Alligator mississippiensis: one gene and its partner. The protein of the gene in region 1 interacts with the protein of each later gene in a biochemical or structural test. Links are inferred from orthologs where the notes say so. Each region holds a gene or a part of one and is shown on either strand. Other genes may lie near its edges.

Region 1 (8,529 bases):
CGCTCTTCCTGTGATAAAGTTTTTCCTAATATCCAACCTAAACTTCCCTTGCTGTAACTGGAGCCCATTGCTCCTTGTTGACCTCTGCCACCACTGGGAACAGTCCAGCTCCATCCTCTTTGGATCCACCCTGTAGGGAGTTAAAGGCTGCTTCCAAATCCCCCCTCAGCCTTTTTTTCTGCAAACTAAATAAGCCCATTTCCCTCAGCTTCTCCTCACCAGTCCTGTCCCCCAGCCTCACAACCATTTTCATTGCCCTTCGCTGGACTCTCTGTCCACCTTGTCCACATCCAATTTTCAGCAGCTACCAAACTGCTGAATTCAAAATAGTGACCTAAGGGACACTGCCTCGTTCCCAGTTCCCCGAGCCCTACAATTTTCATGAAGCTTTTTAAATTGAGTCCTAGCTTGGAGTTTGGAGCAATCGCACCCTTAGTCTAGAAATCTTCTCTGACTGTTCTCAGCCTGCACAGCTGTGACGTGCTACTAGAGGCTTGGTGAGCAGGGGCAGGACCTGCAGCTGTAGCTGTGAGTGGTCACTAGAGGGCTGGTGATCCAGGACAGGATTCGGTCCCTGCCCTAGGGACAGGAGTGGGAGATATCCTGGGATCCTGGAGGACTTTTAGGGGCTGGCCACATCGCAATGGAACGGGAGCTGGGTAGTGCAGTTGAGAGAGACCCCTGTCCTAGAGTGGTGTAACTTTAACCCACATAACAAGTACTTAAAACCATTTAAGAAACGCCAAACTCTAAAATTCTTGATTCAGAGATGATACCTTTTATTAGACCAACTAAGAAATCGCAAAAAAAAAGTTATCTTTATAATTTTTTTGCAGGGTTTTTTTTTTTTTGTGATTTCTTAGTTGGTCTAATAAAAGGTATCATCTCTGCACCAAGAGTTTTAGAGCTTTGCATTTCTTTTGGCTCAGACCCGCACAACTACCAAATATATCCCTAAAAACTTTTAAGGTGTTAATGTGCACACAGTCCAGGGGTTAAGAGCTCTAAGAGCTACCCCAAGTTACCATGCAACAAGGCTCTTACAATGAGAAATGTCTCATTTCTGTTCATAGGCAGACAAGGTTCCTTGGGTGAATTTGATATCTTTTATTAGACCAACCCAAATGGTTGGAGAATAGTTATTAAGCAAGCTTTCGGGTTCAGAAACCCTTCGTCAGGCTAAGGAAGCTTCAGCAGTTGGTGTGTGCTCTTCCTGTTCAGGAAGGCGAAGCAGAATATGTCTATCTCTGCTATATTTTGAGCCCAGGCAGTCATTGCTCCTAATACCCCATTGCTGGAGAAGAATGGGGCTCTGGGCTGGGCTCTGAATCATCCCAGGGTTTGTGTGATGATGAGGAAAGACAGCCAGGGTCAGTGATGAATAGAAAAGAGATGTCCCTGCAGGAACCAGCTTCCTTTAGGCACTTATCATGTAGTGGTGACAAGAAACAAGCAATGCCACGCATGTGGGGCTTGCAAAACTCAGCTCCCTGCTCATGCTGTGAAAATGTATGTCTTCTGTGCTTCTTTTACTCTCTTACTCCCAGTCCTGTCAGAGGAAGTGGTTTTTTCAGTATTCCTTCTCAACCCCGCCCTGTGCATGACAGTCGAGTTTTGTTCTTGGGCCATTGTGAGTGGCTTGTTAGTCCCCTTCCTGACCTTCCTGGAGGAAACCTTATATGGCTAAAATATATCTCATGGAAACATCATCATCAAAACTCCTTGGAGTTCTGCGCATGGTAACAGCCACTTGCAACCAAGTCACAGGCTGCTTCTAGCAACAGTCAAAGACGGGAGCCACACCATCTGCAGTGAAACAAAGGACACACTGGGTGCATCTACACATGCATTTACTGCGCAGTAATTTACCGCACAGTAAATTACTCCACAGTAAGTGGTTTTTAGGCCAGCGTCTACACACGCAGGCATTACAGAGCAGTAATGCTGTGTGTGGACTGACTTGGGCCTAAAGTTAGTCCCAAGTCCATCTACACACGCAGTGTTAATGCATAGTAAGGCATCTACACATGCCTTACTGTGCAGTAACTAATCGGGCATAAATTTGCTACCTGTATCATGCAGGTAGCAAATTTACACCCGAGTAAGCGTAAGTCACTATAGTTGCTGCGCAGTATAGATGTGCACCTGTACTGTGCAGTGATTTTGGTTACCTAATTACTGTACAGTAATTGTGCACCTGTAGACATGCCCACTGAAGAGACATGCCACTGATTTCTGCCTGTGACACGGACAATAGCTTTTTCTGACTGTGATCAATGTCAAGGTTTTTAGACCAGGTAATAAAGATTTCATGAGTAATCTTGTGCATCCAATCTTGATTATAGTAAGGACTCAGAGCAGCAAGGAGCAGAAAGCAGCTCCAGAGGACCAGGAATAGTATGTGGTTTTGAAATGTGCTTTCAGTGGCTCTATCCCTACTGTGTTTGAGCTGCATTAGCTGATTTGAACCGTGTTCAAAATCAGCTTAGTTAGCAAAGCACAGAGCAGACAGAGCCGTAAAGCACTGTCCAACAGAGGTGTTACCGTAGTCGGGCAGTTTATTGGCACTGATCTCCCTTCAGTGATTTCACTAGGCTTCTGTCTGGCATCTTCTCTTTGGAAATGATGTGATAAACTAACGACTGTATTTTACAAGCCAAAATAGCTTGGTAAAGAAGAAAATGCTAGACTTCCCAAACTATATAGGCCACCTTGAACCTTTGTTATCTGAGAAGCTCTAATATACTGTCCATAATGGAAAACTTTTGAATACAGAGTCCCATCCTGAGATGCTCCCCTACCCGTGTGATAGTGAGGCATCTTCAGTCAGATTAGGGTCAGGGGAGCTAAAGGTCAAAAACAGGTTGGCAGAAAAGCAAGGCTGGACAGGATTCAGTTTTGGGAACGTGCCTTGGATCGCCGCACTGGCTGGCTGCCTGGCCCAGAGTTAAAATGTCCTTTGACATCTGTGGTATGTGCAGTGTCGCAGTCTGAGAGAAAGCAGCAACACACTGCAGTTTTGCAAGGGCCTGACTGTACTGCCAAAAAGCAGTACGTCGTTGGGCCGACACCTGCACTAAAGGGAGCCAAAGAAGCTGGATTTAATGCACTTAAAGGAATGCAGCGTATTCTGATAAGGAACATGGCATTTTATCCAGACCAACAGTCCATCTAATCCCTTATCCTACAGCCTGCCGCTATCCAGCCTATTGGCTATTTATCTCCATATTCCACCACCTGCCAAATTAGATCAGGTCTATGGCCCCCATAGCTCAATATCCCTCTTCTTATCGTACTGATGCAGAGCCCTAGTATGCTTGGCTGACACTAGAGGTTTCAGGAAAAGGTGCAGTCCTTCCTCTATTGGTCGACTGTAATCGCACAGTGCTCTGTCATCAAGAGGAAATTCCTTCTTTAAAAGAGCAGGTGATCAGTTTATGCCCTAACACATGAAGATGGCCAGGGGTGGATACATACACCGAATTGCAGCGTAAGGCAGAAGACAGAAATGCCAGCTTCATTACTGCAATGCACAGACACAGGGGGCAAAAGGCAGCAAAACAGCATAACTATCCTGGTGACTTACGCTACTTCTCCTAGGGAAGGGGCACAAGTTTAGATGCAAAAGGAAGTTTCTTGATTTCCCCTAATCCTGCTCCTAAAATGTGCGTTTTGCTACTTACAACCCATTTTTAACATGGCTTTTTGTGTGAACTCAGTTACTGCGAGAAGAAAACCGCTTTTCAAACTATCCCAAAACGGGCCACAGCGGTTTAGAAACGGGGTGAAAGCCTGGCAAAACCCTGAGAGGTGCTGCGTAGGCAGAACGACATGAGCCCTACATTCGCTCCTTCCCTAAAGGCGGGGGGGAGGTTTTTATTTTGTGCCGAATGTCGCATGAAGCACGTTCTTCAGGGAGCTGGGACCTGATCGGGCAAAAAGCCCATTTCCCAAGGATTCGCCCAGCCCGAGAGCTAAACATCGTGCTCCTAACAAATAAGCAATTGTCTCCTGTTTTTCACATCGCTGCCTTTGATTTCCTGCGCAGCAAGCAGTCACCCTCGTACGGCGCGTGGCAACATGGTGTAACACAAGCAAAGGGCTGGGGGGGAGGGGGGGGACTTGTGCAAATCTCAGATAGTCCCAACGTGATTAAAGGAGAAATGGGGTTTTTTGGAGGGGAAGTCTAGCGATGCCCCTTTTTGCAATCAATGCGGGTGTCCAGGGTGGTATCTTTTGGAGCATGGGGGAGGATTTGGAGTTCAATTGAAGAGTTACAGAGGATTGACCCCCCCCAAATCCAGTCATGGTGTGCGGTATAGATTTGGGGGGACTGACTACCCAGCCCCAGCACTGTGTGAGGGGAGGCCGGGGGGGCAATATGTGTGTGGGGGGATATTATGGGGGGCTATGGGCTGCCATGTAGCATTTGAAGGGAGACGCTGGAGGCCTCAAATGGTGCCTAAACCGCGTGAGGAGCAGAGGGAAAGAGGACCTGCCTTCCCACAGCCACGGTGGAGATAGTGGGGGGCTTCAGACAGCCGGCACAGCGCGTGTAAGGGGGTGGGCCGCCCTCCCGCGCTGGGTGGAAGGGATGGCGCTGAGGGGCTGTCAAACCACCCCTATCGGGGACCCTGCGCCGAGGGGGCTGAGCTATTGGCCTGCATGGAGCCATTGAAGGGAATGGGGGGCTGCGTATTGCACCCCCATAGCAGCTCTGAGGGGCAGGGGGTCTGTACTGCTCCCCCATAGCAGCTATAAGGGAGGGGGGGTGTACTGCTCCCCCCACAGCAGCTGTGAGGGGGAAGGACACGTGATTTTGGGCTGCCTCTATTATCAGTACAGGATTTGGGGGGTCGGGGCTGGGAGCAGCCACCCCCACAGGGGAACCCCTGGCAAGGAACCCCCCCCGTGACGTGACACTCCCGAGTCACAGAAGAAAAGAAAAAAAAAAAAAATCCCCTCACAGCCCAGGAGCCTGATTGGCTCCGAGAGCCTCTCAGCTTCGCCTCTCATTGGCCTCCCGCTGCGTCACTCCGCGCATCACCCCACCCCCTTCAGAACCCTGCATCTCTTCACACACTGTCCACGCTCCGCGGCCGGCGCGCCGATTGGCCGGCGAGCACGTAAACAAGGCAGCGGCAGCCAATGGGAGCGCTGATCACGCGAGCAGCACGCTTCCACGCGCCCTCAGCGTGGCATGGAGGTGATCAACAACCGAAGTGCGGGGAGGCTGAGAGTATAAAAGCGCCGCATCCGGCGCGTCTTGGCGCAAAGCCTGGCAGGCTCCGAGCAGAGCGGAGCTCCTTGCTGCTGAGCTGCGGCCAGAATACCACAGACGGCATCTCTGCTCCCTTCCCTCGGATTCCAGCGCCCAGGCCAAAAACTAAAAAGGGGCTTAATTTTTCAGCCAGCAATCTAAAAAAAAAATAGCTTTTTTCTTTTTTTCTGCACGATTTTTGATACCATTCAATTCCAAGCCCCAGGCTTTTGGGGTTTTTTCCCTTGTATTTTGGCCATTCCAGTTGAGCCTTAGCCCCCTTCCTCTCCTAGTCCCGTCTAAACCAAGCCAACTTTCCTGCCACCATGGTGATGTTCAAGAAGATCAAGACTTTCGAGCTGGTTTTCAGCGAGCCCGGCAAGGTCTACTTCAGCGGGGAGAAAGTGGCCGGCCGTGTGCTGGTGGAAGTGACCGACGTCACCCGAGTCACAGCCATGAAGGTGTTGGCCTGTGGCGTGGCCAAGGTCAACTGGGCCAAGGGCCCCCACCACTGCAAGCAGGAGATGGAGTACCTCCGCTACGAGGACGTCCTGACCCTGGATGACAAACCCACTGGTGAGAACCCGAGACCTAAATAATACGACCTAAATTGTAGGGCTCTTCTGCCCCCAAAAAAGCCTCTTTTTTGCCCAAAAATGCTTTTAAAGCAGGGTTAGATCAAAAATGAAAGGTTGGATTGAGTAATATTGGAGGTGCTGGGGTGTTTTAACACAATAGGATACTTGGCAGCCAAGTAGGGCTTTATCTGTGGTTGTTTTTGGCACTTGGCTCTGCTAGCGGCTCTTTTTTTTACTCCAGTATTTTGAGGTTTTGTGGTTATGTCCTGGCAAAAAGGTCCTAGAAGTATCTTAATGATTCATTTGGACCTGGATAAACTAGCAGAGAGCCTTAGTTGGTCTGCTGTAGGAAGCGTGTCTAAAGTTTGAGACAGAGGAGTAACAAAACTCGGGGGGTGTAGTGACAATTGGGAGATTGCAGCCGGCAGCGAAGACCTTAAAGAGGTTGATGCGGCAGGAGTAGCATCCCCAAAGGATGGGAGCGAATGTTATTGGCAGGGTAGCTGTATTGTGAACAAGCTTCCTGAGCTGCATGGAGAGGCGAAGTAATTACAGTGTGCGAGTACAGTATGCAGGACAGGTGTTACAGCTGGGGAGCCGCTCCTCTCTTGGCACAGGGAGTGATGGGCGCTGTGATTTCCTGGCTCTCTGGCACAGGGAGTTACTCCCGCCCCCGAGGCAGGTTGGAAGAAGGCACAGCTTCCCCGCTTGGCAGGGTTGTGTGTAAAAGAGTGACAGGCAAGACCAGGGATGATGTGAAATGCCTTGGATAGTTTTCCAACTTCTTTATTGGCCCAGATAGAGATTTGCAGTGGATTATTTGGTGGGAGGGAGGATGTAGAGGCCAGCTCTGAGTCCTTACTTAAGAGGATGATTAAGAAGCACGAAAAGATTGCAATGGCAATATAGCAGAAGTTTTTCAGAACGTTTCTAAGTAACAGCATAGATTATACCCAGCACAGCAAACTTTGGCACTTGTGTTGTTTCTGCTGAGACAGGATGTTGTGACAAAGCTGAGAACATGCAGCAAGACTTGAGGTTTTTAACTTCCTCTCTCTTTTTTTTTCCCCCATTGCAGATGAGGATGGCTCTGTGATCTTGAGACCTGGGAACAAATACGAATACAAGTTTGGATTTGAGCTTCCTCAAGGGTAGGTATTGATCAAACACGGCATCAGAAATGCTAGCCTTGTGACAAAATTCCCTCGGTTGTTATTTGTGCGTGTGTTTTTAATGAGCTCCTCTTGTATTGCAGACCCCTTGGTACTACCTTCAAAGGGAAGTACGGCTGTGTAGATTACTGGGTGAAGGCTTTCTTGGAGCGCCCATCAGTCCCACCTCAGGAGACAAAGAAGCATTTTGAGGTCCAGGACCCTGTTGACATCAACACTCCAGATCTACTGGTAATTGTTATATTCTTGGGTGTTGTTGGGGCAATGGTGGGGCTGTTTGCTAGAGGTGGTTCAGAGGGATATTTGCTATGTATGTAAATTTTACAGTTCCAGGGCAGATTAAGTATTGTCTCCTAAGGAGATGAGTGCTCCATATTGCTCAAAGCCCTAATGGAAGTCTAGGTTAGTTGTTTGAGATGGGTTACCTTTCTCTTGAGCTATGTACATCAGTGAGTGTCCATGAAACAGGACACTGGAATCTACCTGGAGATGCAAATTAAACCGCATGGAATACAAAATGTTATGGCAGCAGTCTGGCAGGATATGGACAGGATAGAATAGGGCGCACACAACAGGCTGTCTTCATTTGTTGTAACCAAATCCCTCTGAATCTTTTCCAGTCTCCCGTCTCTGCCAAGAAGGAGAAGAAGGTGTCCTGCATGTTCTTTCCTGATGGCCATGTGTCTGTCAGTGCCAGGATTGACAGGAAGGGGTTCTGCGAAGGTGAGCCTGGCTTCCCAGGAGGACTGGGAGATGAGGGGGCTGAATGGGACAGTGCTTGAAAAGAGCATTGCTCTGAGCAAGAGGGGAGGAGAAGGGCATGACATTGAACCATGTGATACTACTGAGCAAGGGAAGTGGGCTGTGAATCAGAGAAACTTCCCAATTAGATTGGGCTTCTCTGCTTTAACCAGTGTAGACTTCGCCATGAATAAGCTGTAAGAGAATCATCTCCACCGTGGGTAAGACCTTCCCTGTAACTAAACAATCCTGTCTTCTTTCAGGGGATGAAATCTGCATCAATGCAGACTTTGAGAACACATGCTCCCGCATCGTGGTACCCAAGGCAGCCATCGTTTCCAAGCACACCTACCTAGCAAATGGCGAGACCAAAGTTTTCGTTCAGAAACTCTCCTGTGTGCGTGGCAACCACATCATCTCGGGCATGTCTGACACCTGGCGGGGCAAAACAATCCGTGTCAGGAAGATCAAACCCTCTATCCTGGGCTGCAACATCTTGCGCGTGGAGTACTTCCTGCAGGTAAGGGTCGTGGGTACTGAAGGATCTCTCTTCCACACCAGGCCCATCATCGGGGAACATAGCATGTGCAGTTGTCCTGCCAGGGACCCCTCTCCTCCCTTAGATTTGCTCTTTGGAGTTTCTTTCAGGGCTTTGATACCTGCAGTGGTCTCACAAGCCAGTGGAATAGACATGGCATTGCACTAAATTTACAGTTTAGCCATGTCACTCCCTTTCCATTAGGAATCTTATACAGGCTTTAATGCAACAGAGGAAGGG
Region 2 (7,904 bases), on another chromosome or scaffold:
ACTTTTTCAGGCTAGCTAAAGCCCCTCCTCAAACCACATAAACTAAATTGGTACAATAGCTGCTCTTATGCTAGAAGCAGAGTGCCAGTGGGGGTATAGGCTTATAACAGTAAACTAGGAGCTGCATTTGGCTACGATACTCCTGCTGCAGCCTTCTTCCTCTGGGCACTGATGCCTTTTCATTACAAAGCTGAACCAGTCGGCGCTGTCCGTGAGGTCTGTGTGTCTGTGTTACAGAAATGGCCGCTCTCAAGACCATCCATCCACTGTCAGGGCTTCTGGGGTGAACTTCATTTCCATCGATAAGTGATGAAGAGGTTTGCTGGCTGTCGTTCAAAAACTTTCAGCTGGATGGATGCCACAGCTGGAGAGACATACACTTTAACTGGTAGGGAGTCACTGACAGACTCTGGCCCTATGTAGCTGTCAGTTAGCCCTCATCTTTCCCCATGCAATGGATCATCTCAGCCCATCTTCACTGTACCATTGACCCCAGCTGTTGCCCAGTTTTAGTGCAAATCTGCCTCCCCCGATACCCACACACAAGAACTTCTGACCTTGGTGTGGAACTGCTTTAAGCCGTGGCTAGCTTACCTAGCTGGGAGCAAAAGTTAGAAACTGGGCAGTGCTTTAGCTTGAGCTGGGACCAGTTCACCTTGTAGAGAAGGCTCCAGCTAAATCACTTGGCTGCTGGTAACTTCCCCACAGCTTTCCACAGGTCTCCACGCAGGACGGGCAAGGGAGATTGAGAGGAGATGCAATGGCATGGCCAAACTCTCTCAGTGCCAGTGAAACACTAAGATTATCATTTACATAAAAGTTTTCACAACGTTTTGTATCTCTTTGTATTTCAAAACATTTTTACAGGCAAGGGGTGTGAGCAGAGGTACTTCTCGCTGAGGGGAATGGGACATGGAAGCTGTAAGTGCAGCAGCCAGGGATTTGACAAAGTCCGTTTGCAACACAATAGCAAACAGACAAAGGGACTTCCTGGTAGGTTAGTAGATAATTGCTGAGAAATCCTAACTGTCAGTCACGTGACCAGGCCTTTATTGGCCTTGGCATGTCCATATTGGACTGCCGTGCACACCCCAGGCTTACCTCTTGCTCACAAGACTGAGCCCAGATGCTTGGATAGAAAGTAATAATTCATCCTTTTATGTTTGCATTACATTTGCATCAGCTAAATAATTTCCTTAGCATGACTAATTAGGCTGTGTGCAAGAGGTGAGCATGCCTACCAGCTGACAAAAGTGTCATGGTTTGGTGGGTCCTGTCCGGGTTGTTTCTTTGGAAGGAGGTAATAAAAAACTTAGCTGAGTGATAATGTGCTAAATAAGGTGCGGTTGAAGGAAGTGGGATGGGTCAGGGGACGTGGATGGCAGAACTTGGCCTTTCACTTCTAGGCAAATGATGCACAAATGCTCATTGGTTGGAGACTATGTTTTGAAAGCTGCTAGGTTACGTGTGTAAAATGAACTGGCAGCACAAGCCTGTTGCATCAGGCCATAAGCCAGACTTTACCTGGAAGCATTGGCTAACGCCACCCACATGCAGCAAGGTACTCAAGCACATGCTTGTTTTGCTGGATCCAGATCAGGTCTCTTAACTACAGCACCTTACTAGGCATCTATTTCACAGAAACCATCCTGCTGCCAGTCTCAGCAGCAGGGCCAAATGAACCAACCCTGGAAACCCCGACGAGCCCCTTCAGTGGAGAACACGGGCGTTCCCCCCGCTCTGCGACAAGCACGACCAGGAGGGGCAGACGGCGGTTTGCCGAAGGGAGCCCTGCAGCTCTCCAAGATTACTTACGTACCGACTGTCACGGAGACAATCAGATGACTTCTCTGCACACCGGTACTGATTTGGTTAGAATCACATGGATTCTAAGTCCATTACGACTGGCGTGTCTACCCACCAACTCAAAAGGATTTGACTAGCAAAATACCCCTTAAATCTCCCTGGAAGCCCTCAGGGACCAACCTTACTCAGCATAAATGCAGATTATTGCCTCTGTATTTACAAGCCACTACAGTTCTCCCTCCATCAGCACTTGCCCATTGTGGTAGCTGGTCAGGAATTTCTCAACAATACAGGTTCTTTTTTTAGTAGAAAATGCCGATTGATCAAATCCCAAACTATTCACAGGCTAGGACAGGTTGTGATACATTTCTAATTTAGAAAAACTTTTGGAGGGGGGAAAAACTGAAAAAATGTCAAATTTTGACATTGTGCAAATGACAAATCCTAGTTCTGATTTGCACCACCTTTTTTTAAGATAATGTAATTAATTTATAGAAAAAATGTAAATCAAGACAGACAAATCAAAACTCTCAATGTAAGGTATTGACATTATTGGAGCAGAACAGTTTGTTTGCCCAATCTGATTTTTCCCCCCCAGATATTTGATGGATACAGTTTGTTGAGGTTTTTGAAGTCCAGGACAGGAAGAATTTTCAAAAGGGTCTTTTCTCCCCTACTATCTCCCTTTAAAGAGAAGAACGGCAGGGTGTTTGAAGGGAACAAAGAGTTAGTCATTGCTTAGTACAACTAGGAGTCCTTCCCTATTCACGCCCTCCCCTGGCCTCACCTTTTGTGGCACTGCGAGAGGCAGGCAAGGCTGTATTGCTGACGGGAGAAGGGAACGTGCGCTCGGTCACATACGCAGGGAGAGACGCCCCCTCCCCTCCGCTCCGCTCCCCTCTCCTCCCCTCCTCTCCCACCTCCTGGCATTTCCCAAAGTTGTATTGTCTCTAGATTTGGGAATCATCTGAATCCAGATGCCCAGTTTTAAAAGTCTGAGAATGGAAAAATTATTAATCTTGTCTAATCAAAGCAGAAAGCAAGTGCTCCAGGGGCCTGTGCAGCATGCTCCCCTTGCAGACGGGGGTTTTGCTTAGTACCGGGGGAAAGGAAGGGGCCCCAGTGTCCAGCGTGGAGCATGGAAGTGATCCAGGGGAACCGATGCTGGGGGGATCTTTCCTCAGAGAGGAAGGAAAGGTACAAAATGCTGTAGCGCGCCAGGGTCCAGATGGAGATGTGAGAATTAAAAATATGCACAAAGTTGACGTGTGTTTGTCTCATGCTTCAGGCCCTCGGGCTGCCTCCGACAGGAATTACCTTTAATCCGTTAAGTTGCTAATTACACACCATGGTGTTTTTTGACTCTTGATCTGAAACAGGCGTTGCTGGCCAATGTCAGAGCCAGGATCTGGCCACGAGCGGGAGATCCTGTGCTGTCAGGATGACTTTTGTCGGCAGTCAGGATGATGGTGCAGATTCCCACGCGGGGTGTTGTGCCTTACATAAAAGCGTGTAAAGCACCCGTAGGTCGCTGCCACGCTGTGCGACGTCCCCGAGTTTACCAAACCAAGTTGTGTAAGCGACTCACGGCGCTCAAACATTTCCAAGAGCTCCAGCCACAGGAAATTAAACTGCAGGTCCTTGCGCGGCACATTCCCAGGCACGCTCAGGGCTGAATCTGTAGCAGATTTCCCAACGCCAATCAAACCTACATGCCAAGAGCTCGGCTGCGCTCCCCCCACCCCATACATCAGCATTCACCTCCTTCCCCGCAAGATTTGTTTCTGCTCAGCGATGGCGAGAAACGTTGGGTGCCGTCTTGGCGGAGTGGGGAAGGGTGCTGCCGCTTGAGGGGAGCAGGGCAGGGAAAGCAAGTCTCGCTGTTTGCAAGCCAGGCCGGCCTCGCTGCCACCTGAGCGGGGCGTGCGCCCGCCCCACGCCCGGCCACGCCAGGGCGAGGCGAGGCTGCGGCCTAGCGCCGGGCAAAGCGGGGAGCTCCCGTGTCCGGACCCATCGCTGGGAGCCACCGGCACAACCGACCCCGCCAGGGCCCCGCGGCCCGGGGAGACGGGCAGTGCCGGAGCGGGCGCTGCCGTCCTCGTGCCCTCGCACCCGCGCTGTTTTGGGCGGTGTGGGGAGAGTGAAGCCGGGCGAGGCGAGGCGAGGCGAGGCGGGCGGGCGAGGTGGGCCGGGGGCCTGCTGCGGGGAAAGGCCCCGCGGTCCCTGCACACCCCCTGCCCCCCGGCAGCAAAGGACTCGGCACCGGACGGAGCGAGCGGCTGTGGGGCAGGGGCAGGCCCCTGGGCTGGGAGCCCCTCTGCGCCCGCCCGCAGGAGACCGGGCCGGGGCGCGCGGCATGGCGTGGCGCGCTGCGCTGCACGAGGAAACACATCGGACCCCGACACGGGGCACACGCACACATGTACCCACACACGTGTTCTTTTATTTCTGTGTGTGTCTACACACACACACACACACACACACACACACACACACACACACACACAGTGACACATTCGCAGGCACACGCGCAGGCCCACGCGCATGCGCACGCTCTCTTTCATGCCCTCTCTCCCCCTTCTCCCGCGCGCGGCAGGCGGCGGCGGGGGGGGGCGGGCGCGCGGCGGTGACGGGCGGCGGGCGCAGCCAACCAGGGCGCGCTCCGCGCCGGCTGTCCGCACACCCCCGCCACACCCCCGCGCCGCCAGCCAATGGGCGCGCGCCGCCCGGCCGCGCACTTAAGCGGGTCGTGGCGGGCCGGGCAGCGGCGGCAGCAGTAGGAGCGGCGCGGTCCCGGTCCTCGTCTCGGTCCCGGTCTCGGTCCCTGCGGCGCGATGGAGTCGGGCAGCAAGGTGAGCCGCCGCGCGGCACCGCCCCGGCCCGGCCCGGCCCGGCGGGCTCCTGCACCCAGACTTGCCGGGAAGGCCCGTGCTCGGCCCCGGCGCCGGCGCCGCGTGTCGGGGGAGGCGGCGGACGGGACAGGCGGGGGCGTCGCTCCGTGGCCGGCGCTCCCGGGCGGGCCGCCGCGCTGGCCGGGGCCGGGCCCTGCGCCGCTCCCCCCGTCCCCTCCCCTCGCTCCGGCCGAGGAGCTCCGCCGAGCCCCGGATGGGCGCGGAGCAGGCGGCCCGCACGTGGCCCCGGCGGCGCCTGCAGGGAGCGGCGTCCTTCCCCCCCGGGGCCGAGCGGGGCAGGAGTCTGGAGCCGCCGCGGTCGCGGTCCCGGTCCCGGTCGCGGTCAGAGAGGAGGGGGAGGTTGGAGACAGTTGGAGAAACGCTGATGTTTCCGAATAAAAGAAGACCGGCCATTTCCTTAAGGAGCGGCCGCCTAAACCTTTCCACGTCCCGGCTCGCTTTTCCTTGGAAGGGAAGCGTTTAGAAAGCCAAACCCGCCCGCGCCACGTCTGCCGCCGTGGGCCGTGGCGACGTGTCCGTGGATGCGCCGGTGGGACCGCGCCCCGCGTGTCCCGTTGCAGCCCGCTCCGAGTGTCCGACCCCGTGGGAAAAGTAAAACCGGTGCCGTTCAGTAATGGGAAGGGATTGCTCTTTCTGGGTGTCTGACTGGAAGAAGGAAGGTGCTGTCTGTCTGTCTGTCTGTCGCAGCGCTGGGGCCAGAGGCTTTGGTTTGGTTTCTTGTAACTCGGGGCGGTCCGTCCCACCCCCCCCCCCCCGCCCGCCCGCCCGGCGGGGCAGCTGCGATACTTTCTGACACCGGTTCCGCATATCTCTCTTCTGCAAACAGAGCAGTCTTAAGGTGCCTTGAAATAGGCGTTCAGGACTAGTCGCTTTTAAAAACCTTGGCCAGGGATTCGGTGCGTAGTTTGCGCCTCTCCCCTTTTAAACTAAACTGCAACAGCAAGGGCACCTCTGCTCGGGGACGTGGGCATCATGTGGCTGATCCATATTTAACCTGGAGAGAGCGCAGTGGAAAGATCCTGGTGGTGTGCACGTATCGCTAGTGGAGCCGCGTGATAACTGGTGTGGTATCAGGCTGCCTAGCACACCTGCGAGTCGCTGCAGTCTCCTTCCGTGAGACCTCGCTATGCAAACAATCAGTGTGGCAATCCTACTGACGTCACGCTGTCCTGTCACAGCCGCCTGAAATCCTTCCTTGTTTCCTGGTCGCTCCAAATGTGGGAAGCGCGATGTTTTGTTAGAAACCCTTAGCCCCCGGGGTGGTGGGGACCGCTCGGGCCCAGCACCGAGCGGAGGAAAGCACCTCTCTCGGTAGCAGGAGCTGCCTCTCAGGCCCGTCGTGGGTGGGAGAGCGCTTTGTGCGCTACCAGCCTTCGAAAACTTACTGATCATTTTCTAACAATGCTGTTGTAGGAGGTTTTCAAACCTGGCTGCTTTTCGCATCCCCCGGGGCTATGCAGTGCAGTACTCGTACGATACAGTCCCGCGTGCCTGTCTGATGTGGTTGAATGACTTGGGCAGAGTAGCCTGGACATGGGAGATCACCCGCAGAAAGGTGCCCAGCCGCGTGGACGGGGGCAGGCCTCGAGTCCGGACCCCCTGGTCTTGTCACTCGCTTGCCCGTGACCCCAGGCAAGTTGTGGGAGACTTGAGCGCAAGTCACTTCTTCGTACCCGTGGGTGGATTTCTCTGGGGTTGTCTCAAAAGACAGATTTGCCACAATGTGCAATGAAAGCCTCGACTTTTTTTAAAGCAGAGTTCTTGTTTTCTGGCCACCCTAACGGAGGGGGGTTGGTTAATGCCTGTGGGCTCTGCTAGCAAAAGGTGTGAAGGATTTTGGGGTGAACATGGGCCAGCTCCCGCCACCTCCCCTTAAAACCGCTGAATCAGTGGGGAGGTGGATCAGGCCTGCGCCAGGGAAGGGGCTGGCAGCTGCCCGCATCTCCTGAGACCAGCAGATTTAGCCACACTTCTGCACATTCAGTTTTTCCAGGGACTGTCAGCACGTGATCTTGTAACAAGGTTTCCATAAGCGCATATAGAAAAATACAGTGATCTGCCTCTAGCCCCCTAAAGAGAGCTCGGCCTTCTTCGGCAAACAACATGCGCATCTGTCTGCCAAGCTGCAGCCACGTATTTATGGGCGCTCTCCCCCTGGCTGCTCAGGTGCCTGCTCTCCGGGCTAGCTAACGTACCCACGTGGGAAGTATTTGGGGCCATGATAGCGTCCATCCGAAACCCGGATTAAAGCCCAGGGGCACGGATCATACCAGCGATACTGGGGAGATCCTGCTCCGTGCTGTTCTTCGGGGACGTCAGTAGGAGCCAGCTGAACCCAACACTTCTACCTCTTCTCCCCCTCGTGTAAGTCCTGCCTGGACTGGTCTTTGCGTGGCCAGAAGCAGAGGGTCAGCGCAGTTTGTCCGTGTCCCGGCAAAAAGGGGCACCTGGGACTTGTGGGGCTGCTGTAGTAACACAGCCAACAACGTGGCACCACCTGCAGCTCCTCCAAGATGGAGTTTCCTGGGTAGTTGAAAGTAGCTGCAGTCACCGGCGCAGCCCGGTTCAGCGCCCGGGGCTTGCCACGGACTGGGCTCTCAGGTTACATCAGCTCAGTGCCCTTAAAGTGGCATGCCATCCCAGGCAGCCTCAGACTGGCACCCCACAGTGCGTGCACCCGGGCCAGGGGGGTGGCGTGTCGGCAGGCATGGGCCCTGGAGGCTCTGCGAGTGCTTGCCTAGCTGAGTGCCAGGTGGGAACCATGCCCTCCGAGTGTACGTGTGACGGAGAAAGGATGCACTGTGCGAGAGAGCAGGATGAGTGCGCGCCCGGCAACCTGTGCAGCACAGGATGCAGCTCTTTTAGGCGAGAGCTCGGCCGCTGGGTCAAAAAAAAGATGTGGGAGAGGGGAAGGGTGGAACAAATCAGCAGCTGAAACCTGCAGAGGAAACCACAACTACTGAGGCTGAAACAACTTTGCGCCCCTGTCCCACCCTGGCCCCAGGAAGTGCAAAGGTTGTCTGTGTGTCCTCTTTCTTCCTCTACTCAAATGCAGGGCTGGGTGCTCCTGGCAGTTCGAGGGAGCCTGTCTTGGGTGCTGCAGTTCTGCAAACGCCTGGGCCCAGTGACCTTCTTTTCACCCCCTTGCCACAGTCCCAGGGTAGCGTGAGGTGTTCGTCTCACTGG

What was found.
Region 2: the proteins of TXNIP (region 1) and SLC2A1 form a complex in vitro, tested with the Homo sapiens proteins (2 studies listed by BioGRID). The link is inferred for Alligator mississippiensis from reciprocal best matches to the Homo sapiens genes TXNIP and SLC2A1.

Annotation. Positions count from the first base shown.
Region 1 is NC_081838.1:17,945,293-17,953,821, reverse strand, and holds the start of TXNIP (thioredoxin-interacting protein), read left to right. Parts: upstream 1-5,262; 5' UTR 5,263-5,586; coding exon 5,587-5,836; intron 5,837-6,916; coding exon 6,917-6,989; intron 6,990-7,093; coding exon 7,094-7,241; intron 7,242-7,630; coding exon 7,631-7,733; intron 7,734-8,014; coding exon 8,015-8,271; intron 8,272-8,529. UniProt on the Homo sapiens protein: May act as an oxidative stress mediator by inhibiting thioredoxin activity or by limiting its bioavailability.
Region 2 is NC_081836.1:1,295,027-1,302,930, forward strand, and holds the start of SLC2A1 (solute carrier family 2, facilitated glucose transporter member 1), read left to right. Parts: upstream 1-4,534; 5' UTR 4,535-4,640; coding exon 4,641-4,658; intron 4,659-7,904. UniProt on the Homo sapiens protein: Facilitative glucose transporter, which is responsible for constitutive or basal glucose uptake. Has a very broad substrate specificity; can transport a wide range of aldoses including both pentoses and hexoses.